Nothobranchius furzeri: one gene and its partners. The main gene of each other region encodes a partner of the protein of the gene in region 7 in a complex. Links are inferred from orthologs where the notes say so. Each region holds a gene or a part of one and is shown on either strand. Other genes may lie near its edges.

Evidence for each region.
Region 1: mks1 (region 7) and cc2d2a share a complex: the UniProt entries of both Homo sapiens proteins name them as parts of the tectonic-like complex. The link is inferred for Nothobranchius furzeri from reciprocal best matches to the Homo sapiens genes MKS1 and CC2D2A.
Region 2: mks1 (region 7) and b9d1 share a complex: the UniProt entries of both Homo sapiens proteins name them as parts of the tectonic-like complex. The link is inferred for Nothobranchius furzeri from reciprocal best matches to the Homo sapiens genes MKS1 and B9D1.
Region 3: mks1 (region 7) and tmem107l share a complex: the UniProt entries of both Homo sapiens proteins name them as parts of the tectonic-like complex. The link is inferred for Nothobranchius furzeri from reciprocal best matches to the Homo sapiens genes MKS1 and TMEM107.
Region 4: mks1 (region 7) and cep290 share a complex: the UniProt entries of both Homo sapiens proteins name them as parts of the tectonic-like complex. The link is inferred for Nothobranchius furzeri from reciprocal best matches to the Homo sapiens genes MKS1 and CEP290.
Region 5: mks1 (region 7) and b9d2 share a complex: the UniProt entries of both Homo sapiens proteins name them as parts of the tectonic-like complex. The link is inferred for Nothobranchius furzeri from reciprocal best matches to the Homo sapiens genes MKS1 and B9D2.
Region 6: mks1 (region 7) and tmem17 share a complex: the UniProt entries of both Homo sapiens proteins name them as parts of the tectonic-like complex. The link is inferred for Nothobranchius furzeri from reciprocal best matches to the Homo sapiens genes MKS1 and TMEM17.

What each region holds. Positions count from the first base shown.
Region 1 is NC_091748.1:39,037,969-39,041,834, forward strand, and holds part of cc2d2a (coiled-coil and C2 domain-containing protein 2A), read left to right. Parts: intron 1-443; coding exon 444-591; intron 592-1,690; coding exon 1,691-1,829; intron 1,830-1,914; coding exon 1,915-2,118; intron 2,119-2,197; coding exon 2,198-2,290; intron 2,291-2,372; coding exon 2,373-2,464; intron 2,465-3,866. UniProt on the Homo sapiens protein: Component of the tectonic-like complex, a complex localized at the transition zone of primary cilia and acting as a barrier that prevents diffusion of transmembrane proteins between the cilia and plasma membranes.
Region 2 is NC_091752.1:49,447,849-49,452,332, forward strand, and holds the start of b9d1 (B9 domain-containing protein 1), read left to right. Parts: upstream 1-1,445; 5' UTR 1,446-1,634; coding exon 1,635-1,697; intron 1,698-1,821; coding exon 1,822-1,890; intron 1,891-2,895; coding exon 2,896-3,004; intron 3,005-3,080; coding exon 3,081-3,177; intron 3,178-3,267; coding exon 3,268-3,330; intron 3,331-4,007; coding exon 4,008-4,075; intron 4,076-4,147; coding exon 4,148-4,266; 3' UTR 4,267-4,484. UniProt on the Homo sapiens protein: Component of the tectonic-like complex, a complex localized at the transition zone of primary cilia and acting as a barrier that prevents diffusion of transmembrane proteins between the cilia and plasma membranes.
Region 3 is NC_091745.1:78,310,780-78,315,404, reverse strand, and holds the start of tmem107l (transmembrane protein 107), read left to right. Parts: upstream 1-1,658; 5' UTR 1,659-1,965; coding exon 1,966-2,052; intron 2,053-3,685; coding exon 3,686-3,753; intron 3,754-3,826; coding exon 3,827-3,927; intron 3,928-4,625. UniProt on the Homo sapiens protein: Plays a role in cilia formation and embryonic patterning. Requires for normal Sonic hedgehog (Shh) signaling in the neural tube and acts in combination with GLI2 and GLI3 to pattern ventral and intermediate neuronal cell types.
Region 4 is NC_091744.1:50,508,219-50,512,800, forward strand, and holds the start of cep290 (centrosomal protein of 290 kDa), read left to right. Parts: upstream 1-1,668; 5' UTR 1,669-1,876; coding exon 1,877-1,984; intron 1,985-4,582. Other genes in the region: protein O-mannosyl-transferase TMTC3, read right to left, coding at 1-79, 447-635. UniProt on the Homo sapiens protein: Involved in early and late steps in cilia formation. Its association with CCP110 is required for inhibition of primary cilia formation by CCP110.
Region 5 is NC_091743.1:62,503,022-62,506,250, reverse strand, and holds b9d2 (B9 domain-containing protein 2), read left to right. Parts: upstream 1-1,462; 5' UTR 1,463-1,900; coding exon 1,901-2,428; 3' UTR 2,429-2,584; downstream 2,585-3,229. Other genes in the region: poc1a (POC1 centriolar protein homolog A), read right to left, coding at 60-167, 355-534, 735-906, 1,037-1,121, 2,769-2,783. UniProt on the Homo sapiens protein: Component of the tectonic-like complex, a complex localized at the transition zone of primary cilia and acting as a barrier that prevents diffusion of transmembrane proteins between the cilia and plasma membranes.
Region 6 is NC_091744.1:77,713,014-77,716,948, forward strand, and holds tmem17 (transmembrane protein 17B), read left to right. Parts: upstream 1-1,275; 5' UTR 1,276-1,358; coding exon 1,359-1,473; intron 1,474-1,608; coding exon 1,609-1,712; intron 1,713-1,915; coding exon 1,916-2,029; intron 2,030-2,106; coding exon 2,107-2,250; intron 2,251-2,386; coding exon 2,387-2,464; 3' UTR 2,465-3,122; downstream 3,123-3,935. Other genes in the region: agbl2 (cytosolic carboxypeptidase 2), read right to left, coding at 3,137-3,305, 3,393-3,423, 3,495-3,644, 3,707-3,797. UniProt on the Homo sapiens protein: Transmembrane component of the tectonic-like complex, a complex localized at the transition zone of primary cilia and acting as a barrier that prevents diffusion of transmembrane proteins between the cilia and plasma membranes.
Region 7 is NC_091750.1:66,889,902-66,893,898, reverse strand, and holds the end of mks1 (tectonic-like complex member MKS1), read right to left. Parts: intron 3,810-3,997; coding exon 3,767-3,809; intron 3,678-3,766; coding exon 3,615-3,677; intron 3,538-3,614; coding exon 3,467-3,537; intron 3,392-3,466; coding exon 3,322-3,391; intron 3,243-3,321; coding exon 3,135-3,242; intron 2,617-3,134; coding exon 2,483-2,616; intron 2,269-2,482; coding exon 2,186-2,268; intron 1,943-2,185; coding exon 1,845-1,942; intron 1,273-1,844; coding exon 1,169-1,272; 3' UTR 836-1,168; downstream 1-835. UniProt on the Homo sapiens protein: Component of the tectonic-like complex, a complex localized at the transition zone of primary cilia and acting as a barrier that prevents diffusion of transmembrane proteins between the cilia and plasma membranes.

The DNA of each region.
Region 1 (3,866 bases), on a different chromosome or scaffold from region 7:
GCTGAAATGTCATAAATTCAAGCCAGGAAGAAACTGGTCTCCTTAGTTTTAGAGTCACCGCTGAGTTTGATGTGAATAGCTGTTTAATATAAAATATATGGTGATGTAAATGTTTATGAAATAGCACTTACATGAGCTGCTAGTGTTTTAGATTAGTGTTGTTTAAAGATGACACAAACACTTTGTAATTGGCCCTACTCATACTAGCTGTTAGCTCATCGATCTGAACTGACCTGTGTTCCTGAAAACTGAAATAGTTACCTTTAACAGGACATATGCCAACTGTTTATCCTTTTCACGAAATCTCACTTGAGACCCTCTGAGCTGTCCCTTTAAGGTTTTAATCTCAACTCTAGTCTCTGTCCAAGTATAAACTGGATTTTATGGGGGCATGGGACATTTTCATGACCCTCCTTGTCCTTCCTTGCTCTGCGCCTCCTCAGATGTGCCGCTGTCCTTTGAGCCTGATGGAAGCAACAAAGTGATCCTGCTGACCTCTGGGAAGCTGGCATGCTGCGTTTCCTGGGGGATCGGGGAAGATGATGTACCGCGCGCTCCTCCTGTTTCCCAGCAGCTAGGTGCTGCACACAGGTAGTCTCTCTAGGAGAGATCCACTGGTTTAGATTCTTTACCAGTGGGGTTCTTAAACTGGGATCTCTGACGATCACAGGTGTGATCAAAGTTTTTCTGCACAGATGTACGTAGTCATAATTACACTGATCTACTGAGTGTGTGAGTGCATGCATCAGAAACGCTGCTATACACACACGTGTGTTTGACTGTACTTACTGTGATTTTTGGACTGCAGAGAATAGAATAATAATGGAAAGGCTGCATTCAGATTTGGGGCAGCAGTAGCTCAGGTGGCAGAGCGGGTTGCCTCATGATCGGAGGGTCATGGGTTCGATTCCAGCTCCCGCCAGGGGTATCCTGCTGTTGAGTCCTTGGGCAAGACACTTCACCCAACTTGCCTGTGTTAGTGGTGGTCAGAGGGGCCGACGGCGCCAAATGGCAGCCTCGCCTCTGTCAGACCTCCCCAGGGCGGCTGTGGCTACAAGTAGCTTACCATCACTAGCAGTGTGTGAATGTGAGAGTGTGTGAAAGCGTCTTTGGGTGTCTAGAAAAGCGCTATATAAGTTCAATGCATTATTATTATTATTATTATTATTATTATTCATAAATCTGTTGTGTTTTCCTGTAAGACAGCATTTAGTCTAGAAGTACAGCAACTAGCAAACACTATGAACACCATGTGGTATAAAGATGTTGGAGTTGGAAAATGATGAAATGTGGAGCCATAAAATATTTCATCTGCAGATGAAACAACCCAGTTACACGGCCCAGGTTTCAGGAGGACGTGTGTTTCCTGCTTTAGTTACTGATATTTACACATGCCTTCAGCTCCTCTCAGAAAGACGTATGGAAGCTTCAAGATTCTTTGAATGTTTTAGGAAAAGGTTTAGCGCTCGTGACTTTTGGGAATGCTGCTGAAGTGACCAGGAAGAAAAGGTTTGGAGCAACTGGTCCCAGGTGTCAGTTTTCCAGCAGTAGTAAATCCCACAGAGCACCCGTGACACAGAAGAGTCCATCATTGACTTTGGCTCTAAACATTTGGGCTCGCCTACACTAGCAAGCCACCTGAGCAGGCTTTGTTTCTGTGATGTTAACTCTAATCAACCCGATGTCTCAGTGGTTTGGGGCATCTGGACGCAGTCACTTATATCGGTGCATCTGGACTGTACGACATGAAGAAGATTAGTGAGTGGGCCACACAGTCACGACTGGATCCCAATGATCCAAACAATGCCTCCATCATGCAGCTGCTAAAGGTGAGCAGCAGAACCATTCTGTTGGTGCTGAAGATGGCTCAAAAGGAACCCGGCTGTGACGAGGAAGCTGTTGGTGTGTTGACAGGTGGCCAGCAGCGGGGAGGTGACCGCTCCGGACTACTTCCGTCTGGAACACCTGCAGGAGGAATTTAATTTTGCGACTGATGAAGAGATGGAGAAATCCAAACGATTCCGCCTGCTCAGGCTGAGGCACCAGGGAGTCCCCGAGTTCCGCAACTACAAATTTGTTCCTGCGTTCTCCAGTGAGACGTCAGAGGAGGTGTTCAAGGTCAGAGTCTGGCAGATACACACATCAGAACACGCAGGATGGAGGTTTCTTTTCATTCACTTTGGCTGGAATGTTTTAGGAATATGACAGACGACTGAGAGATGAAGAGATAATCAACAAGGAAGAGCATTTGGATTCTCACAGAGCTTTGGTGGCCAGATATCTTCAGAAGGTAAGAAGGCACACATGTTAGAATTTTAATTTTAAAAACAGAACAGCGTCTAGTTTACTCTGATCCTTCCGTTTCCCCACAGATACGAGAATCCGTCATCAACCGATTCATTCAGGCCAAACATCACTACCTGCTGTCTGACTTGGTGGTGGAAGAGGAGATCCCGAGCATCGGGTAAACCCTCCAGAAGACTAAGCAGTCTGACTTTCTTCTCCATTTGATCTGGTCATGTTGTGTTAGATAAACACGTTTGATCTTATAACTCCTGTTAAACCTCTGCGTGTTCCTTTTGTTAACATGAGTGCAAAGGTGCAGGCAAAGCCACAGTTCCCATCTGTAGTTGAAAAGGCAAGGTTAGATAGCTGGTACCACAGAGGTCAGGGCTCTCGTCATCACAGTCAGCTCAGCTGGGAGAGGGGCAGAGTCAGCGTTTGGCACAGACTGAAGTAAGTACATCTCCTCTCATGGAGCTTTTCCTCTGATTGATCTTCACACAGCAAGAGTTCTCCTCTTGAATTCAGACGATTATGTTAAAGCTAGGTCTCTCACAGTAGGACCATCAACATACATACTGGACAATTTGTGTCCAAAGGCTCCAGTAACACGTTTTTGTGCCAAAGTGGGAGGTGGCCACCACCGCCATTTTGACCGTGTCACAGGTTCCGTCAAACCCAGACAATTCCATAAAAGGGGAAAGAGGTGGAGCTGAGGGTGGGGCTGTAAGGCTGGGATCAAATGACGACACCCGTCGAACTGAAGCGATGTCGCTACAAGCTAACCTAAAGCTAACACGGAGGTGGGAGCTAAGCTAACGGAGGTAGCTACCTAGCGGTGCACAACACCAGAGCTTCTGAGTCAGAGATACGCCGGGCTGACCGCTGGGTAAACCCGGGTGGAACACAGAGGTCTCCGAGAGCTCCACAAGCCGATAGCCCACGCAGCAGACAGGTGCCGCGATCAGACAGAGATGCGCCGAGCTGCCGCTGGGGGGAGAGGACCATACCGATAGTGGGAACCCAGCTCCACCAACATGTCATATTTCAGCCCATTTTCTAAAGTGCAGCATTATGTTAAATGCACTGGGTTTTACCCTATTACATTTACATTTCATGGTTAAACAGTACATGTTCAAATCTAAGCTCAGCTCGGCAGTGACCTAAAATACATAAATATAATTTTACTTACCGAAAACAATGAAGTGGAGACTCCTTGGACGCTCTATTAGTGCAATTAATGCCACAGCAAGTCATTTTGTCCAACAATTGCACAAATAATATCCAAACAAGAACACACACACGCTACAACTAATGGTCTAAGTTGAGAGACTCAAAATCCTGGAGCAGTTTCCAGGCCAGACCGAGGCTCTACTGAGGCCTTTCCACGGAGCTAGCTCTGTGGTCACGTGGGTCTGATGCTCATTAATTATACAGAATTTTAGGCTTTCAATACACTTAAACAGAAGAGTGAGAAAAACATTCACCCCCCTCAGAGTTGTCATGAGTGTAAACTAGATCATTTAAACCAAAAACATGTTCTGGTACCAGGCTGTAAACATGTTTATTTCTGCTGTGAAATT
Region 2 (4,484 bases), on a different chromosome or scaffold from region 7:
ACCCTCTGAAACAGGCAAACAAATGGAGATGAGATGGAAAAAATATCGGTTGTTAATATCGGCTCGCTTTTATTTATCGAACCGATACTGATATGTTAAAAATGACTAACATTGGCCGATACTGATATTGATGCCGATATATTGTCCATCCCTAATCGCAATGTTTACTTTGTGAAGTGCCCAGAGACAACTCTTGGCGCTGTATTGGTAAACTGAACTAAATTGAGCCAAACAAGGATCACTGATTGGCCTGACCAAGAGTTGTTTAGGCCACAGAGTGTGGGTAGACCGACCTGCAGGGTAAAATATTTTTGAACCGCATTGGTTTGTCTAGTTTTCTAGGCTTATGCTCTCAGAACTTGCCTTCCCTGTCTTCCTGTCATAGATTCAACAAGGTGTTGGAACCCGTCCTCAGAGATTCTGGTCCATGTCATCCCACTTTTACATCCATGAGGGGAATCTCCCATTCCACCACATCCCAAAGATTCTGGACCAGACTGAGATTTGGTAACTGGAACCCATGGTCATGTTCCAGATCCAGTTAGAGATTATCTAATCTTTGTGACATGGTGCATGATCCTGCTGGAAGTAGCCATCAGAAGATGGGTCCAAGTGGTCAGAAAGGGTTAGGCTAGATTTCTAAATGCATCGAGTTCCTGCCATATGATCGCGAAGATCAAAAAAGAGCTGGAGGTGAAAAAGTGATACAGGTGCTGAGCTTGGCAGACAAAATGGGAGATAAAAGGAAGCAGGTGCAATAAGAGCTGCTGTTTATGGAGCTGCAAAGGTCAGAAGACTTGGGGTGGGCCCTGGAGACAGCAGGAAGCACTGTGTGGGAGAGAGCTGAGAGAAGAGCAAAAAAAAAAAGGTTGCTGGGTATGAAACAGCTGAAAGAAAGAGCTGTTTTTGTCACATCTGAAACAAAACACAGTATTTAGACACACGTGCCAGAGGGGTTTACATACTTTGGAATGCAGATTTTTTGGTTTCATTCATTTCTGATTTTCAAGCATGTGGCGCAGTAGGAAAAGCAGACATCCATGTTTATATACAGCACTGGAGGTGTCCAGTTAGCTGGAAATTTTAAGTTAGGCTTCTTGTTTTGGATGTTGTTTTGTTTCAGTTATTGTTGAACAGACATTGCAGTCCTTTGGGCCTACAAAACAATAAAACGATGGTTGAGAAATAACATTTTCAGGGCTGGTAATAAGGTTAAAAAACGATTTTCAAACATGTTTGGTCGTGAAGTGATTTCAGTCGTGAATGAGAACGAACCTGCATTTTTAAAAGTCAGTGTATTTGATTTTGCTACCCTCTAGTGGACGCCTAGACAATTAAACCAGAGTTTTTATATTGTTTCTCCGCCTTCTTTTCTCCTTTTAATAAACTTCGGGTGTTTATAAAAATAAGTATTTTGACTGAATTTCTTGAATTACTTTTTGCTCTATTTAAAATTAATTTTAACACGTGATGGCCCAATATCACCAATAAGAATTGCGTTTAATTTTATCCAAACCGGTAGCCATAGGGAGGAGTAAACGTTGCCTTAGCAACAACCTCGGATCGCTTCAGACTGACCAAATTAGCTCGACTTATTTAACAGACTTTTACTTTCTTGAACCTCTGGAGTCACGATGGCAACAAACAACCCGAGCGTGTTCCTCCTCACGGTGAACGGGCAGATTGAGGGAGCGAACGTAAGTCGTCTTTTTAGCTAGTTTTAGCTTAGCTGCTAGCGTTAGCATTAGCAACAATGGCTCGTTTGGTGCTTCATCCGGGATGTTCCGGGTTGTTTATGGTGATGTTTGTCTTTTATTTCAGTTTCCAGAGCATGACAATCTGTACTGCAAATATTGTTACGTGTACGGCCACGACTGGGCTCCAACCACAGTGAGTATTACAACCATTAGCATTTAGGATGAAACATGAAGTATGCTTGTTGGGTACCACTTTACAATACTAATACATTTATTATAGTGATGTTATTAATGTTTTCAACGTTTTAAAGCCATTAAGTGTTTATTATGCACGAATTAAGGGTGAGAATGAGACTAAACTGGCCGGATTCTTGCCGGTATACTTCTACTAGACTGTATGTATTACACAGATCAGACTGCTATATAAACAATTTATTAGCATATTATAAAAACATAACTATCACATGACGTCAAAAGTGTAAAAAACATGTAACTTTCTGAAATGTTTTAATATAGAAACTAGAGGAAATATATGGGTGATCAGATATGGCTCACTATTGGGCAAGATGTCTCTTTTCCACTCTTCGTTCATGTAAAATAAACGTCTTGGGTTCTGAGAGCACTTATTGTGCATTTTTAATTTTCATCTATCTGTTCTGGATTTGTAAGACCTCAGAAATATATTATTTAAAGCAAATACTAACTGATAATGGATTTTTTTTAGCTCTAAATTAAAAATAATTAATTACGTTTCCTTGAGTAATAATACAATTTTGTAAGATATAAACAAAATGATATCTCAAGGCTTTTTCCACATATGTGGATGCTGTGTTTACAGATGGGTTCATAACAATAAACCTTATTGTTAAAGATGTTCAATATGCTTTTTTTTACGGATAATACTACGTTTGAACACGAACCCACACAGATGCAGACAGTAACAAACGAAACCTCAGATCAGCCATATTTTGATGTGTTTGAGGAGTTTGATGTATAATGTGAGCATGTTATGCAAAGGTTGTGTCATTCAAACAGTAAAAAAGATAACTCAACGATGTTACATTTTAATGCCAATATCGGACGATGGTATTGCCCAATAACGTCAGACGTGACTTTCAAGGATACAGAACAGGGTTTATAGATAGTTAATGCAGCGGTGGCTGGATGGAGTTGTGTTGTAACGAATGTGACTCTCCAGGGACTGGAAGAAGGAATAACTCAAATAACCTGCAAAAACAGTCAGACACAGAGATTAGTCTGGAACTTTCCTCTGGAGACGACGTTTAAGAGCACAAATCCTTTTGGGTGTGAGTAGATCACAATTTCATCATCATCATCATCATCATGTGTGACTCTTTAGGATTAACGCCGTTTGTCCCCCAGGGCCTCAGCTGGTGGTGAGTGTGTACGGACCAGATGTGTTTGGTAACGATGTGGTCAGAGGCTATGGAGCAACGCACATCCCCTTCACACCTGGACAGTCAGTATTACTTTCATGTTTGACCTAAAAGCATACAGAATGTGTTACTTCGGTTTGAAGATACAGATCTGAATGTTTTTCACTTGTCAGACATAAAAGATCCATCCCCATGTTCGTTCCCGAGCCCACGTGGAGACTTCAGAAGTTCACAGGGTGAGATCGGTCTCCTTAGCTGTTGGAAACCCGTGATCTTTAGAGGAACAGTAAATATTTCATCTTCCTCTCATGTGGAACGCAAGCTTCCAACACAAACACACGTTTTAAAGGTTCATTTTTGACTAATCTTTGTCACGTTTGGATACTTTAGATTCACACTCGGGCTTGTTTGATGTTGCTCTCAGTCTTTTTAGTGTTTTTCTTTTCATTTTTACCATGAAAACTGAATATTAATGTGATTATTATTAGATCTGATGGAGTTTTTTGCCATTTTGAGGAGCGTTTTGTGTAAAACTTACTAATTATCTGGTCAGAGAAACAGACTGTGCATCCTAGAGGACTGATGAGCCACATCCAGGCCTCTAAATGTCATAGATCGCCATGTGAGGTCATTTCACTGCTGTCAGGTTCTCATCACATAGACATTTTAGCAGAAATATGAATAAATTCCTGCAGGACCTGACCCCTGATGCACCAGAAATGCTAGTTTATTGGGGATGTTTACATTTGTAAAGAATGTGATGAACCACAGTGAGCTTTAGCAGACCTGTGCCGTTTTAGGACAGCAGCAACTGGGACTAGCCATTAGCACGGCCTTCGTGAAGGATGCAAATTATTCAGGAAGCTGTGAACTGTTTCAGAGAAACACGCTAAAAGATCCTATTTCTGTTCAGCTGGCTGCTGGGGCGGCGGCCCGAGTACACAGACCCTAAGGTCGTGGCCCAGGGTGAAGGCAGAGAAGGTTAGTGGTGCTTTTTCTTCTTTTACCTTTCTAGAATAAAACTTTTAACATATATATATTTTTCCGTTTCAGTGACAAGAGTTTGTTCCCAAGGCTCTGTAACCGTCTCCTTTCACATCATGAGTAAAGACATGAAGAAGATGGGCTACGACGTGGGACCGTCACACGTCCACTCTGCCACGCCGGACTGAGCCACACCAACTCCTCCACGTGGATTTAGAGCAGTCAGCCACAACCTCTGAACTCTGAGCTGACTCGCCTTTTGGAAAACAACCAGTCAGAAACCGACACAGGAACACTAGAGGGGCTGATAAATGGATGCTCTGACTGTAGTTATCTTCTCACGGAGGTCACATGGGAAGGTGGAGTCTGGATGATGCTGTGATTGATCCTAAAGCTGGCATCTGAC
Region 3 (4,625 bases), on a different chromosome or scaffold from region 7:
TGCCTGTCTTGGAGAGCGAGTGTTTGGGGTGGAGGCAGGTGAGTTGGGGTCCGGGGGGAGATCTGGAGGAGGATAACCTCTCTGGACCAGCATCTCAGCTGCACAAAGCAGGCACACGCTGTGCTGGCACGGGAGAAGGATAGGCTGCTTCACCGTCTCGTCACACACCGGGCAATGCAGCTCCTGCTCCATACTCTTCATGTTGGACTGGAGGAGAGGCAGTGTGGATGTGGGAGAGGTCGAAAGAGAGAACAGACAAAAAGACCTGAGTCAGAAACAAATGCATGAGGTGTTTATCTGAAGCCTCTTATGTTCGGCCTTGTCAAGTGAACAGAGTAACTGTGTAAAGTTAGAATAACCAGAAAGAAAATATGTAACGAAGTTAGCTCACATTTTCTCTCAAATGTTTAACAAACAATAAAAATGTTAAATTCACGAAAAAAAGCATGATGAAAATCAGTTTCCGTGGACGTGGTGGCTCTTTTCCATCACTGCAGCTAGAGGGCGCAGCATCCCGTTTCTATGACAACCAGCATCATCTCTGTCTTTTCGTGTGCACGGCCCAACGCCTCTCGTGCTATTTTCTAACATATTTAAATTAGTCCAACAGTAAAAAAATCAAACGCATCAACTTCAGCTTCCACGTTTTAAATGTTGTTTTGTTGTTATTTACACAGTGCCAGAGCTTTACTGTGACGCTGATATCATGTCTCCAAACGGAATTAGCACGCTCCATCATCACAGCTGGACACATCTGTATGCAGATGGCTTCATATCTGAAACATGGGGGGAAATCCGCTAAAACATCCAGACTGAAACTGCACAAATGGCTGAAGTGACTAATAAAGCCAGCGTCATACTCACGTTGATGCGAACCAGCGCGTCCATGATAGAAGTAAAGGTTTGGAACTCCGACTCGGCCATGATGCTTTCTCGATTTAAGCGACTCAAAAGGATCTCCTGGAGAAAACCCCGGCTGGTTGTCTTCTTCTCCTGGCCGCGAGGCAAAGCCCGGGCCTTGGCTGGTGCCGCTCCGCTGCTCACGCACGCTGGATCGGTTCAGTCTGCCTCGGGGGAAGAGTCCACTGGTGGGATGGGGGTGGGAAATCTCTGGCTCAGACCATCTAACAGAAACACATTCGTTTCTTATTGCGCTGTTTTGTTTTACAGGCACGTTTATCCTGCCAATTCCAATTAAACATGCGGTTGTTGTTTGTCTTTTTAAAAATAAAACCGTTTTATCCAACAGCGAACGGATCTGGTGGCCCTTTCTATTTCTTTCATTTTGTCTTGTTTTTTTTTTCGGGGAACCTGAATTTTCGGGTAGTTTTAAGCATTTTTATGATAAAAATGAAAAGACATCAGGTGTTACCATCAGATCGCAGTATTGATGAATAAAAAAAGCAAATAAATAAACAAATAAATAATAAATAAATAAATAAATAAATATCCAGCTACACGTCAAGCTACACCTCTTTTACTAACTCTGACCAGGAAAAATGAAACGCGCTGACTACCCACCGTTACTAAATAAGATGTTTGGGTTTCTCTGTTTTATATTATTTACTGCTGATTAAAAACTCTTTTACGTGACGCGTTCATGGTCAACGCGGAACCGTTTAGGTGTTCGTTTTTTTGTCCGGTCATTAAAACCGTATGCACATTGTCCGTGGTTGTTGTAGCAACCGTTAGTTGCGTCACAACGTGAAGTTTTTGGCTCTGTTAACGAACGAGACACAAAACTAAGCTATAGACTTCGCGAGTTTTTAAACAAACAAATGAATCAGCTGGTTTATGTCATTAGCCGCAAGATAAACAGATGCTAAAGTGTTCGTTTAAAGTTAGCACATTTAGCTACATGCTAGCCTAGCTTACTGAGTGGTTTCCGTCGCAGTAAACAAAAACCTTTTACTCTTTTTTTTACTCACGAGCTTTTAGAGTTTTACTTTGCTGATTAGGATCACCATGTCGGCCATCAGCAGCCTTGTTCCTGCTCGGTTTCTCACCATCACAGCTCATCTTGTCATTGTTATCACCATCTTTTGGTCAAGGGTAAGAAAAAAATGGTTTATCTTTAATCTGATTTCTTGTGCCTGATTTTATTTTCATAATGGAGAAAACTTTATGGGATTTTAGATCTGTGGTTTTATTAGACGTTGCTGTTATATGAAATACCACAAAGGTGAACACACAAACACATTGTTAGAAATTCTGCTTAAACATCAAAGGTAATTAAAACATATTCCTTGTTGTGTTATAAAACGTCATTTAAGTTCCAGGAAGTGTCCTCATTGACCCCTAACCAGCATGTTCTGGTTGTTTCCCTGCCCAAACACACCTGATTCAATGGTTGAGTCACCTGTTTAGCATGATTAGGTCTGCAGAAGCTGTTAATCACCTCTAGGGTTGTCACGGTGTGAAAATTTAACCTCACGGTTATTGTGACCAAAATTATCACGGTTTTCGGTATTATCGTGGTATTGTTTTAAACGTGTTACATTTTCAGGAAACTAAATAAACCCTGTATATCAGGAAAATATTGTCCTCAGTTTGTGTCTAAATTTTGCCTAAAATGTGTTATTTTGTAATTATGTTGTTTATTTGTTTACATATTTCCCCTTAAGTCTTTAAAATACCAATATTTGCCCATAACTTTTCTTATTTTATGTCTGTTTGATGTCATCATTTTAAAAATATTAGACCAGATGATACTCAGTACTCAAGTAGCCTTCTAATCAGATACTTTTTACCCTTACTTGAGTAATAAACCCTATATCAGGAAAATATTGTCCTCGGTTTGTGTCCTTCCAGTGAGCTTTGCAGATGTGGGAAAATGGCATCAGGCAGTAATCGTTGTTAAATTCATAATTATTCTCGGAGAGAGACCAACTCTTATCTGCCCCTGGGAGCCCCGTAATGCATAGCGTCATTTCAACATGGCGGTGTCCGCGACACGGTTTATATGCAGGTAGCGGCGCTGCGGCTGCTTTATATAGCGACTCGTTGCGTTCTCCCTCAACCCAAATCCTCGGATCACGCATTTTAGCTAAAGCGCTAACGTTAGCTTGCCTTGCGTTGACTGTAGAGTTGTGGGTGATGGTCACGCAGATGTGTCATGAGATTTGAAGCGTTGCTGCCTTTCACAGACACTTTTTCTGCTCGTGCTGCAAACAGGATAGCCGTCTTCTATCAGCTTTCCCTCGGCATTCTTCTGGTATAAAAAAATGCCCGTACTTCTGACTTTGTCTTCTTAGAGCGATAATAAATGTCCTGAGTGCTGCCGTCTCCTCCTTTGTCCGTTATTTCAGCTTTAGCTTCAAGAAAGTTTTGGTTGTAAACAACAAAGTGCGCATGTGCCGCCGGCAACTTCAGCAGATGATACGGTGGCTGGTAAGGGTCACCGCGCCTACACCGCAGCCACGGTAATCCACCGAGATAATATAGTTTTTAAAAAAACAAGACGGTTATTATTATTGTCAACTTTTTTACCGGGGTTTACCGCTACACCGGTTACCGTGACAACCCTAATCACCTCTTGGTTAAAAACAGCAGAGCAGAGAAACCACTGAAACATGCTGGATAGGGGCCCTCGAGGTGCAGGGATGGACACCACTGCTCTACGGTCAACATCACATCCAGATTATTCAGCCCTTGAAATAATTTGCAATTGTTTTTCTTTTTATAGGAAAATAATGTAAAAGCATGTTTACCACTGGATTTCACACCAGAGCAGTATGATACCGAAGACAAAAAGTGAGTAGATATGTATGTAACACACTCGTATTATCAGGTTCTCGGATTAAATGATCTCTTTTGTTCCCTCCAGGCTGGTGGTGGCGCTGGCAGTCACACTTGGTCTGTTTGTAATCGAGCTGGCTGGCTTCTTTTCAGGAGTGTCTATGTTCAACAGCACTCAGGGTCTCCTGTGTATCCTTTACTCATCCTTAATGAAATATATATATATATATATATATATATATATATATATATATATATATATATATATATACATATATGACCTTTAATATTCAACAGTAAAGCGACTTCTGGTTAAGGCTGTAACACAAAGAACACGCAGCAGCAGCAGCTAGTGGATAACTAGCTTAGCTCTCTCCCACTTGGTCGGTTCTCTCTAAAAGACAAACGGAATAGCTGAATAAAACCCAAATTACTATAAAATAAAGGTTTGTTATAGGTTAAAGAGTAAGGATGAGTGAATTTGTTATTAAAAAGCTAGTCACTCCCAAATTAACTTTTTTTTTTGCTGATTAACTATATAAATGAGTGTCAATAGTTTTGCTAAGAAATACACACACACACACAGGCTCACAACGACACTGTGACATCATATGGTACCAGCTAACGTTCTAGGGTACCTCTTAGCCAATAGCGATGGCAGATTTAAATTCAAATGCAGTGCAGAGTTTTTACCTGACAACGGCACGACACTGACAGTTTTAGGCAGAAAATTTAAATTTTAACAAAAATGCACTAAAGTGCTAAACTATTTACGACACGTGTCTGCAGCACGATTAGACACACATTTATTTAGTTTATCAGGAAAAAAATGTTGATTTGGGGGTGACTTGCTCTTTAAATGTCAAAAAGTCATCAGTTACAGTTCC
Region 4 (4,582 bases), on a different chromosome or scaffold from region 7:
CTGCGCTGAGTTCACTGACGAGGTAGTTCAGTCGGAATGTGAGCACCGTCAGGGGTCTGTAAGATTTATGGCTCCGCTCCTGTAAAGAACACGATTGTGCTGTCAGATGCAGGTCATCCACAGAATAAAAGCTTAGGTGGGAGAAATTCTTCGCATTAAATATACAGTCTTGCTTATTACATACAGTGACAGCCACTTTTAGGAATATTAAATGGCAAATAGGTCAAAGCATGATGTTAAGATCCTCTTAAGCTGGGGTATTCACATTTTAGCACACCTGATTCAATGGTTTCATTATCTCACATTGGTTCAAATGTGTGAGCAGAGAAACAACTAAAACAAGCAGGCAAATTGCCCTTGAGGACCGGAATTAAACACACCTGCTGTAAAACATACAATCTCTGAAGAGAAAAATAAGCCTGTATCCAAATAGGACCATGACTTGCCTCAGCCATGGGGGTGCCCCAAAAGTCATTGAGAAACAGGTTGCGAATGGGGGTGGTGGGCCGGAGGTCCTTGTTGTCGAGGATAGCTGAGACATCATCAAACACAAAGCCACACGAGAGACTGTTCCAGTAACATCCCACCACCAGTCCAGTCAGAAATAAAATCTCCTTCCATGACACGACAGCCATGGCTGGCCAAAGCCCTCATTGATCACTGCAGGGAAGGAGGGGTTGGCAGAAATCAAAATTAATAAGCACAGTTTGATTTAGTTTAAAACGCTTGTATTGTACTTACATTACCAAGCTGATTAAACAGAATTAAACTTTTAAAACTTTGTGTTCCGAGGTTAGAACAGGTCATGAAGCCAATTACATCAAATGTTTTCTGTCTAACTTGAGCCCTGTTATGGCAACAAACTGCAATTTCAACAGTATTTTCTTCTCTGATTGACTGGATTATTTATTCTAGCCTATAATTAAAAGTAAGGTATTTTAATGGCACAGCAAGTAAAGGTATGCATGGAGACTGACCGTTGGCTTTTAAGCTTATCCGGTCAAACCACGACCCGGAGCTGTGACATTTGTCAGTAACAACATCATTAGCAATATAACTCGCTCATTAACATCTACTTTAAAATACAGTATGACGGAAAACGAGGTGGTTCTTGTGTATTCACAGTGACGAGACACCACTAAAAGAGCAGTAAGAGAAACTCAGTTTGACAGCTGAAACTGAACAGCTAGATACTTCATCCGCTAATGCTAACTAGCTCGTTACCCGTCTTTATGTTCTGAAATGTCTAAATATGCGCATTAAGGTCTATCTTACCAAGTGATTACAGGACAGACGGCAGCAACACCAAATCTTATATCAAAATCAAGAAATAGTAGCGTAAATTCGGACAACATAGTTCATCAAACTGTTTTCCATTTGTGCAAACTAGCTTAAACGCTTCTTCGATAGTACTTCCGGGTCAGAGGTGACTGCGCAGGTCAAACTTTAGCTAAACAACAGAGCTGCTAAACCCGTTTTGATGGATGAAACTCACTTTACAGACTCTTCGGAAACGTTATAGTGCGGTATTCCTTTATTATAGGGTCCCGTTTATTGTTTCGTTGTGTTTTCGTTGACGTTTTGTAGCACTTGAAGATTTTTGTGAGTTTTACTTCCTAGCTGTAGCAGTTGTGAAGCGTAACCTAGCAGCCAAAGCCTCACAGAGACCTCAGGAGTTAGGATGAGAGTTTACTGACCTTTTTGCTTCAAAACTTCAGAAACGTTTACACGACGTGTTTAAAGCAGCCTACCAAAATCTACGTTTTATATGAGGTTACAGCGGAGCTGAGTAGAGTTATTTGGTACACCTGACGGCTGCAGTAGCCTTTTAGTCGTTGTCTCGTGAAAACATTGATAACCACAGCAGTTGTCCAAAATGCTGCCAGCCGGCCATGTGTGGAATAAAGTGTCAAGATTTGACCCCTGGAACGTGCATGAATGGAAAAAGGACGAAGTGGACGATGTTGTCCGCACATTTATTTCGGTATTTGTCCACTCTTAAATCATATGAACTCTCCAGATGTGCTCTGTCAGACTAATGCTTTATTTTAAACAATAGAAAACGAGTTAATTCGAAGCGAGTGGAGGAAACAAGCGTTAAACCTCATTATTACTAAAACGGTTGCATGAATTGTCCTACTTGAGCTACTTCTGTTTTTTTGTTGTTGTTGTTGTTGCTGTTTTTAGACTAATCTTTCAGGAACACAATTGTTATTATTAAATATAACCCAAGTACTTTCAGAATACAGATTTCAACTGAATATTTTATTTATTAATAATGAATTCACTGTGAATACATCTGTAAATATTTTTCACATCATTGTATTTAGAGCCAGTGCAATGAGAGAAGAGATGGGGGGAAAACAAGCTCCCATAACAAAACTCATATTTTCACTTTTTATCAAGTCCTTTTTTTGTTAAATATCTATATTTTTAAATACATTTGGGAGTAATTTGAGGTTTAATGCATACATTTTTGTAAAGATCTTTCATTTTAAAAATGAATAGCTGTCATATGTTTAAGAAAAGCCTGTTTAGCAGAATAACTTCATAAAATAGCACAGAATGAAATAAATTCAAGTAAGGGACGAGTAATTGGTTATGATTAACTGGACAGCATTTTGTTTTGTTTGTAAAATACAGAAAATATTATTGCAATTCTTTTCAACAAAATGTACTTTGGGGCAAAAAGTATTTGGCAGCCACTGATTTTACTAGGTGTCCCACTTGTGTGGTGTGGGTGACTTATTTTATCAATCTATTTGTAGTGGTCTCTAGTAGGAATAAATGCCTTGTAAGTCAATATACTAGTAGCCTGGCAAGCTATACTTAATAAATATCTTAGTTTGGCAATGCTCCATTGACTGTTCTTGGTTGTGGGGCAGTTTCTACCATGTCTTTCAAAGGATCTCCGTATGCAACTGGACAACGAACAAAGTGACGTACTCACCGCAACGGATGCCGGTAAATGAGGCGGTCCGCTGGCAAAAATAAATCCTTTTTTCTAATTAAAGGACTTAAATACATCTATCTGCTCCTGATTCTAATGAAGCCCAAGTCCAAATAGTCCAAAATTGATGTAGAAGTTGTTTCAAATGAGCGGTCGCCATTTTGTTCCACTCTGTCGCATCATCCTGCCCACCAGACCGATTGGCCCACAAAGCTGATAGAACGCTAATGCAGGAGATTAGTGTAGGAGACGTTTTTCATGTTCAGCCTGCATGAAAAACTCACAGTGACCGATTCATTAAAAAAATGTTTTTTTTCAGTCAACCACACCTTTAAAAAGATGAAAGAGTACTTTTCATGAAATGTACACCTCAACTGTGAGAGAAAGATAATGTAAAAAAAATCCTGGAAATCACATTGTATGATTTATTTTGTTTATTTGTATAATGGTGCAAAAAATAAGTATTTAGCACCTACAAACAAGCAAGAATCCCTAACAAACCCATTACTTCACCTGTCTTCTATGCTCTTCTGTCCCCCAATTGCTGCATGTGTTAATGGCAGCTGTTTGAACTTGTTAACTGTATAAAAGACCTCTGTTCACACCTTCAAACAGTTAGACACCAACCTCCACCATGGCCAAGACCAGAGTTGTCTAAGGACTCCAGGGACAAGATTGTACACCTGCACAAGAATCTACAATAGGCAAGCAGTTTGGTGAGAAGAGATCCACTTGGAGCAATTATTAGAAAATGGAATACATGCAGGGTCACTGGACATCTCCATTGACTTGGGGCTCCATGCAAGATCTTAATTAGTGGGGTACAAATGATCTTGAGAACAGCTCAAAACTATATGAGGGGAAATGGTCACTGACCTGAAAAGAGCTGGAACACCCTGCAGCGCCCGTAAGGTCTCCCTTCTTATGCCAGCATGTCCAGGCCTGTCAAATAGAATACAATAGACTTTATTGATCCCACAGAGGGAAAATTCACTTGTTGCTGCAGCACCAACACTGAAGAGAATAATTTGAAGATAAATAAGATTTGCTGGAGGCCATCTGGATGATCAAGAGGAGGACTGGGAGAATGTCATGTGACCAGATGAGTGCAAAATAGAATTATTTGGTATAAACACCAATTGCCATGTTTAGAGGGGCCATAATGCTGAGATGCATCCCAATAGTATCACACCCTGTGTGAAGCATGGGGGTGGAAACATCATGTTTTGTGATGCTCTTCAGTTAAGGGGACGGGCGACTGATCTGTATTAATGAAAGGGATAAAAGGACCATCAACAGTGAGATTCTGGGCAAAAAAATTCCTCCATCAGTAAAGGCACTGAAGCTGAAACGTGGCTGGAAATTCCAGCTACTGTGTCCAAACCTGATGAGGACCTACAGGAAACGTGACCTCTGTCATAAGTATAGAGGTGACATTTTGTTATAGACCAAATACTTATTTTCTGCACCATTGCACAAATAATTTCTTTAAAATCCTCCAATCCTGTCTCTCACAGTTGAAGTGGGACTTCTTGTACAATCGGTGGCTGCCAAATACGTTGTTCCCCACTGTAGCTCTTAGATAGTTTTGACTCTATGTCCCCTATTTCACAGGTGAGCAATCATTGTCCT
Region 5 (3,229 bases), on a different chromosome or scaffold from region 7:
CATACTTCTACTCTTTCTTGTGCACTCATCAATACATTTTTTATACATCTCGAGCTCACCCAGCATGTTCAAAGAAAGAATGAATGCACTCTCTGCTGTTCTTGTCCCATAGCTTTATAGTTCTATCATCACTGCAGGACACAATTAAACGATCATCTGGAGAAAACCTGGAGAAAAGCACATTAAAATTTTAAAATTAAACATTTGAGAGGAAAAGTGTAAAAAAAAAAGGTGAAAACTTGACATCACATATTAAATTTTTTAAACACTTGTACAACACTTTACTCATCATTACAAATATCACAGGGAAACTTGCATGGTGTGGTATTAAATGGGAGTGTGTGTGTTTCATACTTGGCACAGCGGACCCAGTTGATGTGCTGGTTAAGAGAGAAGAGGAACTTCTGCCTGTGGACCGTCCACACTTTGATTGTTTTGTCATTAGACGCTGTGACCAGGCTCTGTCCATCACCGGAGAAGTTAACACAACGCACAGTGGCAGTGTGAGCCCTGAATTCAGTTGAATCAGCCTTCCTGCAAACACAAAAGGTATTATTCATACATAAAGCAGACAAACACACTGTTTATTCAGGGCGCTGGTATGATGAAATTAGAGTAATCAGCAGATCTTGTTCTTTTGCCTTTAGGAATCCACAGCTTTGTCTTGAGTGATAATTTCTGGAGAAACTTGATGAGAAGAAAACAACATAAAATGCTGCTACGTATAAACTTACATGCTGGGCACCCAGAGACGTACAGTTTTGTCTCTAGAGGCCGAGGCCACAAGGTGACCAGATGGAGAAAACTGGACAGAGTTTACAGCTTCTCTGTGTCCATCGAAACGATAAGCTCTCATCTGAGGCTTCAAGTTCCAGATCATCACACAAGAATCCATAGAGCCTGTGACTGAGAAAGGAGGAAGCACAAGCTGGTTGAAGCAAGAGATTGGTATTAACTACAATGTGCACACAACAAACTGGATAACAGGTGAATATATAGACGGACAAAGGCTCAGATCAAATAATAATAATATTACCAATTTGTTTCATGTTGCGGCTGAAGTCCACACTTGTCACGACGTCCCTGTGACCCTTGAAATTTCTCTCTAGGGTTGGATCAGACTATGATGAAATCAACAGAGATTTTCAATTATTTTACAAGTTTATGTTTGGAAATTATTTTTTCATTTGTTTTATGACCACTTTTGTTATTAAATGATATTTTCTTCTTTTTTGTATTTTATGTTTTATTTTTTATGTAATTTTCATTGAAGAACTTCATGATTTTCTTTTCTACAATAGGTTCTATATAAATAAATTTTACTTTCTTTAGTTATCCATTGAGTTATATAAAAGTTGCAAGATGAACAGTCATCAGGAAAAGCAGGAGAAAGCATATCTAAATAAATAGCTTTTTAGAATTTATAACCTTAAAAAATAAAGCACCATTGAGATGTAAACAATACATTAAAAAGTACAGTGCACTTCATTTGCCATCTTGTTGAACTTGCGCTGTTAAATAGTTATTCGGAAAAAAGTAAACCAGCGGTTCTTGTATACCCTTTATTCAGTCTTTCAGGTATGATTGTAATTTATGTAACAGCTGCTTCACGTCATTAATTAAATTGGTTAAAATTCGTAATTAGTTTACTAAATTAAAGGTTAAGTAATATTTTTTTAGCAAGAAGATATAAAAATGTGTCTCATTTGCCTTCAAAAATAGAACCAGCCCTAGACAGGAAGTGCTGCCTGACAGACTCTGCTCAGGGAGTGCTGTATTAAGAGCACACTATGGCAGGCTGGGTTACCAAGGAGACGTGAGCTGCGTTTGTTGCTCTGTAGCCTTTGATAAAAGCGGGCTCCGTGTGTCGCATGTTCTGGTTAAAGCGGACAGCTGTGAAATGGCAGAGCTTCACATTATAGGACAGATCATCGGGGCCAGCGGGTTTCCTCAAAAAAGCCTATTTTGCAAATGGGAAGTTCATACGGGGGGAGCATGGCGTCTTCTCTCGGGGCTGAAGGAGGGTCAGACTCAGGTGGATTCCCCCCACAGCGGAGAAATGGCTTACTGGAGCCACCCAATTGATCTGCACTATGCGACCAAAGGTCTCCAGGGCTGGCCGAAGCTTCATCTGCAAGTGTGGCACCAGGACTCATTCGGCCGCTACCAGCTGTACGGATACGGGTACTGCCACGTTCCCTCCAGCCCCGGACATCACCGCATAAGCTGTGTGACATGGAGGCCGCTCGGCTCCTGGCAAGAGCAGCTAGCACGAATATTTGTCGGCGGAGGCCCCCAGCTCCGCAACCCGGATCTGATTTACAGTGGAGCGGACAGATACAGACTGCACACCGAGGCCATGGGCACTGTGAATCTGGAGCTGGGCGTCATCATAAGACACTTTGACAAACATGGCGTCGAGAGCTGAGACGTCAAATAAGAATGTTGTATTGATTGTTTTCTTATAAAAAGTTTGTTTTGTCGCAAATGCCTTTGAAAAATTACACACGGCAAAGTTTTGTACATTTCTATGCTGATGTTTTTACACCTGAAATACAGCTATAAATAAACACTTATCATTGAAGTTGGTTTCTTATTCATCTACCGTTTACCATCAATCCAACTATACCTAATATTTCATATTTGTAACGTTATGAATATTTGAACATGTGTGTGTGTGTGTGTGCGTTAACCAAAACAAGTAGTCTACTACAAATCAGACACGAACTTCCTCAGTTGCTACAGTAACAAGTGCTAGCCAAACTCACCAGTGCAGAAGTCATTTTTCCCGGTATTTAGCACGTACACCCGAGTAAAGAGGCTCGTTGCTGCTTTGGCTATTATGACCGAAATACAATTGTTCTCAACTGTGGGTTTTGAAATGAACAGAGGGAGGAAAATATCGCTCCGGTAATTGGAATTGTTTTTTCTAATGCTAGCTGCTAACAACAGAGTTCAGTTTACGCGCCGTGATTGGGCGCTGAGCTGTTGGCCAGAGTCCTTAAAGGGGACGCTGGACATTAAAGGACGTTTGTGTCGAAAAAAGACTTCAATCAAATGTAAAAACGATGAATAACAAAATAAGAAGTTCCGGATTGTACAAGCAGTTATTTTCTTTTGCACAACAAATCCAAATGACCAAGGGGCACACGAGTGTAGTAACCAAATATGACCACAAGATGTCAGTAGCGGTGCAGTGATGTTTTGGAACAAATGTTTTTTTTTTTTT
Region 6 (3,935 bases), on a different chromosome or scaffold from region 7:
CACCTCTCGTCTCCTTCAGGACCCAGTAGCTGTTCACACAGTCCATGCAGAAGTCCACATGTCCACAGTAAAGAGGGTTCTTCATCAGCTTTGAACACATGTAGCTGGACAGAGAATCAGCTGCCTCTCTTGTTGCAGCCATCCTAGTTTCTGCTAGAGCGGGAGTGGCTTCACACACAATCAGTAATTTTCATTTTCTCTTAAAGCAAAAAAACAACAACTATGAAACAGGTTTTTTCCTCCTCCTGGTGTTATTTGCCTGACTTGTATAACTAAAAAAAACTTACTGAGCATGGTTCCCATAAGTATGGAAGCCCATTCCTGCCACTCTGATTAAAAAAATGTATCTCATAATTATGACTTACCTATCTCATAATAACAAGACACAATCTCATTATTTAGGGATAGCGTCTCATAATTATGAGATACTATCTATTCATTTCAGCCCCACATCTCATCACGTAGGGTGGAAATTAATCATTAAATGGTATGAATGGTTTGATTAATTAAATTTCATGAACTATTTTTTACTGATTCAAGACTTTGTTAACCCTCCCACTGTCTTTATGGGTGACCCCGCGAGGAAAGTTGACCATAAAGCAGGATTGATGGTTTATCCCTTGAGGTCCACGTGGCAGGGGTGAGGTGGTGCTCACTCCTCACCCCTGCCACGTGGACCCAAGGGATAAACCATCAACCCTGCTCAATGGTCAACTTTCCTCGTGGGGTCACACCCATTAGGACAGTGGGAGGGTTTAAATATGTGCACCAAATTTTACTGGTGCAGAGAGGGAGGGAACTAGACAACACCTATTGAATACATACTATTTTTACATACACATTTTTTGCAGAAAGCCACAATTTTGTTTCACTTAAAACATTGTCAAAGAGAATCAACAGAGGGTTCGATAGAATGTTCGAATACTAAAATGTTCGATAGCTGCAACCCTAGTATCACTATAATGAGATAGCTAGTAAAAATTATGATGCTGTCTCATAGTAACTAATTATTCTGAGACATAAAGCCATATCAAATGCTATCTCATAATAATGAAATGAGATATTTTTTAATGAGTAGCGTTAATCAGCTTCCATAAATATTATTTGAGCTACACATTATACTCTCCCCCCTATCTAGTCTCGCTTTTTAAATTTTTATTATCAATGTAGTTAAAATCTGGGAAGTTTTGAAAACGCAAAAGGAGACACGTTTTGCTTCTGGCCTTTCACTTTCTCTCACCCCCACTACCATCAATGGTTACCATGGAAACGACGGTGGCTTTCACGACGGAGCTAGTAGGAAAAAGCGGAAGTGTTTCTCCTCTGGTCATGTTGTTTTTAGCCTGATTTTCTTTGCAATGGAGCTGCCGGAGACAGTTAGGAGGCGCTTAGAAGATTTTTCTCGGAATGTTTTATTCGACCAGACTCGTAATGAGCCGTTCTCAAAACACAACGACTCGTTTATACCTCACGGTAAAAAAAAAAAACAAAAACACAAGCTAACTATGAAGTCGAGTTAGCATGGATGTTAGCATGGATGTGTGTAGCCTTGTTACTTTACCATACCGATTTTAGTTAGTTCCCCTCATTTTTTTTGTATGTGTTTAGACAAACGGGTTCTGTCCAGCCTCCAGCTCCAGATGTCTTTGTACTTTAACACGTGGTTCTTCCCGTTCTGGTGGATCAGTGAAGCTGTGATGCTTCACCTCAAGGTACGAGGTTGGTGGATGGAAGCCGCGAGCAGAAAACCCAGAAAGAAAGAAAAATCCCAAATATCTAAGCTAGATTTAGGATACTTTGGTGCTTAAGTATGGATATGTATTAAACTATAGCAATTCATTTTAGAATCAGATTTTTCATGTATGTTTTGAAGCTTCCAACACAACAAGAATGCTGATGGTAGTTGTTCTTGCAGTATCCTGCCCTTCCAAATTACTACAAGTTTGTCCTTGTGACTGTTCTTCTACTGATGACTCTGATTGAGGCCATCAGACTTTATCTTGGTTACTCTGGAAACCTGCAAGAAAAGGTGAGACCATCTCAGATGACATGATACAGGTGCTGAATGCAGGGTGGGGTTTGAATGTAATTTCTGATCTGTGGAAGGTTCCAGAGTTGGCCGGCTTTTGGCTGCTGAGCATCCTGCTGCAGTTTCCACTCATTCTTTTTCAACTTTTTAATGAAGCCATAATCATACTGCCCTTGGAGAGAGGTGTCCACATAGTTCTTGCCATATTTATCCTCACACAGGTATGACTGGATTCTCAGCTCCATTTTACGTGGCAAATGCACCTAAATACACATGTTATTGTGTTTTCTCAAATTTGAGATCAAGTAATTGTGACTGATTGTAATCTGTTTTTTTTTTGTTTTCTGATTGATCCAGGCTGTCTTTGGTTTTGTGGCCCTGCGGGAAATGGTTAGACACACAGGAAGCCAGTTTCATCTCCAACAGTTTGACTGACGTCCACATATGTTCTGGTGTTCCATTTGATCAGGATTTATTCTTACTTCATACCTCCCAGTCTCAAATGACAAAAACTATGTATTTGCATATAGGATTTGGTACACTTTCTTCACACAATTTTAAATTTAATGCTAAAAAATAATAGAAAATATTTATTTTTGTATTTTGTTCCACTTGTATCATTGCTTTTGTAAATTTGAAGTAAATCATGTTTACTTGACTCACTCTGTACTGTTAGTTAGCATCTGGTTTAGATTTGTTGACCATTTAGTTATTTTTTAATTACAAAAGAAATTTTTGTACAAAGTTACCGACATTTACGCTGCTCTTTGTTCAGGAGCTTTTTGCTTCAGAGGGACTGAAACGTTCTGACCAAAACAGAAAGTTTCAACAAAATTCATGAAACACCCAAGTGCTTTATTTTATTTTATATTTTTTACAACATTTATTTTCATGTACTGAAAATATTATTTGAGAAATCATGAGATTGCATTAGAATAATCAGAAGAATTAAAGCATGTTATTGTCACAAGACGAAGAGATAAGTGAGATTTGGTATAAAACGTATGTGTTTTTCTGTTAGATCTTCCCAATGAAGCATCATTGTCACAAAAATAACTTGTTCTATTAAAATGCAGCTGAACTTTGAGAAGAATCCTGGCACCCGTTTCACTGCTTTGTCTTGATTAGGTTTGTGTTTGATGTGGAGGACGCCTGAAGACAAGATCTGTTTCTAAAACGATGCCGACTGCTGGTATTGGTGGAGGTGAAACTCGTCAGCGGCTGGTTTTTTGGAACAACAGCTGGAGCCATGCTGGTAGACAAAGATGGGGGACATCTGCCATGAAAGCAACACAGCATACAAAAATTATGAACACACAACACACCCTTTTGTAATAAACTATAATCTATCCATGAAGTTTACCTGCCAGGTGCTGCAAAAGGAGATGTCAGCCCTGAAAGAAGAAGGTGGTTCGCATTAGGCAAAAACCGATGGAGACTTTAAGCTGCTGTTCAAGAAACAAACCTCTGCAGACTTGAGAGTGGGAAAGAGATTGGCGCAGAGGGAAACGCTGGTGCTGCGCAGAGGGAATGAAAGTTGGAGGAAGTGGAAGGAGAGCACTCAGGTGTAGTAGCTGAGAGGAGCATTTCCACTGTCCTCTCACTATTGCATCACCTGTGAAACGAGTCATGCGTCCTTATCTGCTGGAAAACCTCCTATGTGTCTCCTAACCTTACCTGAGTGGGGTGACGCAGCTGCGCGCGTGTCGGCATGTGGAGACGCTCTCCGCTGAAGGCATGAAGTGCACCGGCTCCCTGAGCAGTTTTCCTAAAACACACAAAAAAATACCATAGAAAGATCCACAAGTTGGAATTAAAATAACACTTTTTATTATCTTTCATTAATGATCAAAAATTAAAGGTCATGTAATTTTGTAGCAGAAATAACAGTTACACTTGACAATAG
Region 7 (3,997 bases):
AGATCTGTTAGACTTTTTGAAAAAATTTGCAGGCTTTTTGTAAAAATCTGCAGGACACATAAGTGATCCGACATCAGATTTGACCTTGTTCTGTTTGTTTATGACGCTGGTGGCTCGCGAGCGTTTCAATGAGGAGCCCGTTGCCAAATATACGTTATGGCTTCAGAGACATTTAAGCAACTATTTGCCTCAAACTGTACACCTCTATTAAATATTTACGATAATCCCACAGGCACTAGTCGAGACAGTTCACTGTTTCAGGGCGTGACACTTTTAATCCAGAAACATCAACTTAATACATAATTCCCCTTAGCTAACATTGGTTAGCTTAACGGCTATGTACGAAAAAAAGCATCAACACTCATTCCGCAGTAAACAGCCCCAAACAGTGAATCTAAATAACCACCAGGGTTTTAGTTTCAGAAAACCGATTTCAGTTTTCGTTTGAGCATTAGGCTAAATCTGACACAAAAAAGAGAAAAGCGACCAGCGGCCCAGTTCCCATCGCTACATGCCTACTAGAGATACGCTAAAGCAGCCATACATTGACTAAGACACACAATTTACACATCAAAAAATTACACGATTGCAAAATTAACGTGAAATATGTGTACTTAAGTACCTGGTCGTGTGTGAAACTGAGAGGGAAAATCGCTGAACGGTCCTTTCCCTGGTTGGAGGAAGATGGAGAATGGTGCGTTTACAGTCATGGAAAATTGGACTACTTCCCTTTGGAGCTAAAACGAATGCTACGTTGGAGGACAACCCGCAGTCAGATAATGCGGGTTTCAGTCCATTTGTTTTGTTTTAAAAATGGGGAAAATATACCACTTCATTGCATATTTAATTTTTATTTAGTTAACCTTTATTTCAGATAAGAAAAATAAACAGTAAAATAAATAATAAAAGAAAACAGTACCTTGAATTTTGTAAAAAAAAACTGCTGGTATTATAGTACATTTATTAGACAAGTGTTATGCTCCATCTCCTAATGTTGGTGTAATAAATCGTTTCTGATGATTTTTTAAGTTAATAACATTTGTCAATAAAATGTCAGTTACAGTCTGAGAAGAACAGAAGATGACTTGAGACAAACTTTTCAGTTTTGGAAGCTTGTGCAGGATCCTAAATGCATCTTGAAATGTCAGTTTTAGTGTGTTTTTGGTTTTTATGCAGAAAATTCCAGCTCGAGTTGGGAAGTAGAGTTGATGGCTTTTTGTGGGAACGTTTCTCTGGCCTCTTGTAGCTTTTTGTATGCTCTTTGAAAGGCCTCTGAAGGGAAATAAAACAAACAAACAGAAAATACAAATTAAATTAACCCTGCAGAAAAATTCCCTGTTCTTTCTACATTTTTGTCTACTTTGGGCAATCAAGCTGCAATGCAAGGCTTGGTATACAGTCCATAACATTTTGTGAGTGTCCTAACAAATCCATCTTCCAGTGGTTTGAAATAACGAGAATCTAAATGATAAATGACCCATAATTGTATAGCGCCTCTCAGAGTAAGGACTCCAAAGCGCTGTACACTACAGTGTATCATTCATCCATTCACACACACATTTACACACTGATGGTGATGAGCTACGATGTAGCCACAGCTGCCCTGACGCTCGCTGACAGAGGCTAACTGGTGGCATTATGCTAATTTTCACTCCCGCTATCATAAAATCATTTCATGGTAAAAATAATAAATGGTGGAACATTCAGAGCCTGATTACAGTAAACTTTTTCACTTAACCACACACACAGAACTCACAGCTCACACAAACAAGGATACACTCAGCAGCAAACAGGAAGTGAAAGTCTTTTAAACCCTGATGCAAATACTGTGTGAGTATGTTTACCCAGAACATTGCAAACATCTCCCTGCTGACTAAATCCTCCCAGCTGGTCGATGACTTTCTGCCTCCTCTTTTTCTGAATGGCAGCGTCAACAAAGGCCCTGAAACAACCAGAAGCGAACAGTAAACACTTTTTAAAAGTAAAGATGAAACAATTTGCATTAATAATACAGATCTTTGTGAAATTTGTAAATGGAACACTTGCATTTGCATTAAGAAATAGTGTTTTGCATGCAGTGCAGAGAGTAAATCTCACTTCTGATGTTTTATTCATTCCATATAAACTGTTAAGCTGTCAGGGAGAAAATCAGAAACAGCTGCTTGTTGATTAAACTGGTCTTTACCTGGCTTGTTGGATGCAGTTCAGATTAAATGTGACACTTCCTGAGGTTAGACTGCAGAAGCCCAAGCGACTCAGCCTGTCTCCCTGAAACCAGACACCATTGTACCAGATTAAGAATCATAATAATGCATTAATTTACTTGCTTGCTCAGGTATACACAGTTAACTTGGTGATAACGAAATAATGCTACAACTACCACAATGTATATTTTTAAAACATCATGTTTCACCCATTAAACCTTCAGGAGAAAATTTATGCAAAGGTTCAAAACCTGGAATTAGCTTAGCTGTGAGTGCACCTTGAAGGTCCCTGGTATTCTGACATAGCTGTGATCTTCAATCTCTGCAGAACCTCCGATAAAAAAGCGCCTCAATGCAGAGACCGTCCCCATCTGAAGAGGTCGCCATGTGTGACAGGTCATGGTGTGCTTACCTGGGATGCACCAGAAACAGAATATATGATGGAGATGAATGATGGAGCATGCAGAGGAATTATTATTAACTTTTCTGAACCATGTGAAGTTAAAAATCTTGCATATTTGAAATTGTTGGTATGAATTCATTTGTAGTACAATCTTTGGTGAATTATCTGAATATCTTTAAATTTTGTTTTTGAATGTTCAGTAGATAAAACTCAGTCAGGGGTGTCGAATCCTGGTCTTGGAGGGCCATCGTCCTACATGTTTTAGAGGTTTCCCTGCTTCAGCACTACTGATTTCAATCAGCAGGGGATTAGAAGGCTGATCAAACCATTTAATCTGGTACTTTGGAGCAGGGAAACAACTAAAACGTGCTAGGTAGGGTTTCTTGAGGAACAAGGGTGGACATCCCTGGACTAAAATAAAATAACACTTTTAAAGACAATTAAAAATAACAGTAATGTGAATCTAAAATCATCTAAATAATAAAGAAGTAAATTAGTCAATGAGTCTTATAGATGCAGCAGCATACCAGGAATAGCTGGAAAAAGCAGATAACCATAGCCTTCAATACGATAGCGCCCCCACAGGTCAAGAGAAAGAACTTTGAAGTAAAGCACTGGCCACTGGGGAATTAGCTCTGAAATTAAAAAAAGTGAAAACACTTAAATTTAGACTTTTAAATCACATCATTTCAAAATGAAAAGGCTCACGCTGACCTTCACTCTCTTTCTCACTCTTGTAAAAAATCTCAAAGTTGAAGGGGTAACTGAAGAAAGCCACATTTTCCTGTTGGCAGAGATCAACGTGTGTCAGTGTTCATGTTCTGAAGCAAGTAACCAGTTTCTTACGTCAAACACACACCTTCCCCAGTGATTTGGTTCGACAAGTCTGGGTAACCCCTGACAGAAACTGGGGCATTGAGCTGGACCAATCTAAAACAAAAAAGTTTACTAAGATCTCACTAAAACTAAATATCACAAATGAGTATCACAGACGGCTTGTTACTCACTATTGGGAAGATCCAGGACGAAGTGGACGTGTAAGTTATCATACTCAAATCCTTTAGCCGAGACTAAAGAGAAAAAGAGGGAAAAGAGAGAGTGGTAGTTTGAAAGTTGATGGGTAATCTAAAAAGATAGCGATCACAGCCGTCCTCCTCACCGATCTCTCCATCCATCAGGTAACGTAGCGTACCAACAGCGGGCTGGACAACAAACATCTGGTTAGCGAAAAATGTTTGCAAAGAAACAAACGTTCCCACTGGTTCATCTAATGCACTTTAATCAGTTACCAGCTCAGAGGCCTAGTGGTAGAGGGTCCGCCCTTGGACATCGGGGTTCAAACCCGGTCGGGTCGTACCAAAGACTTAAAAAGTGGGACTTTAACCCTTCC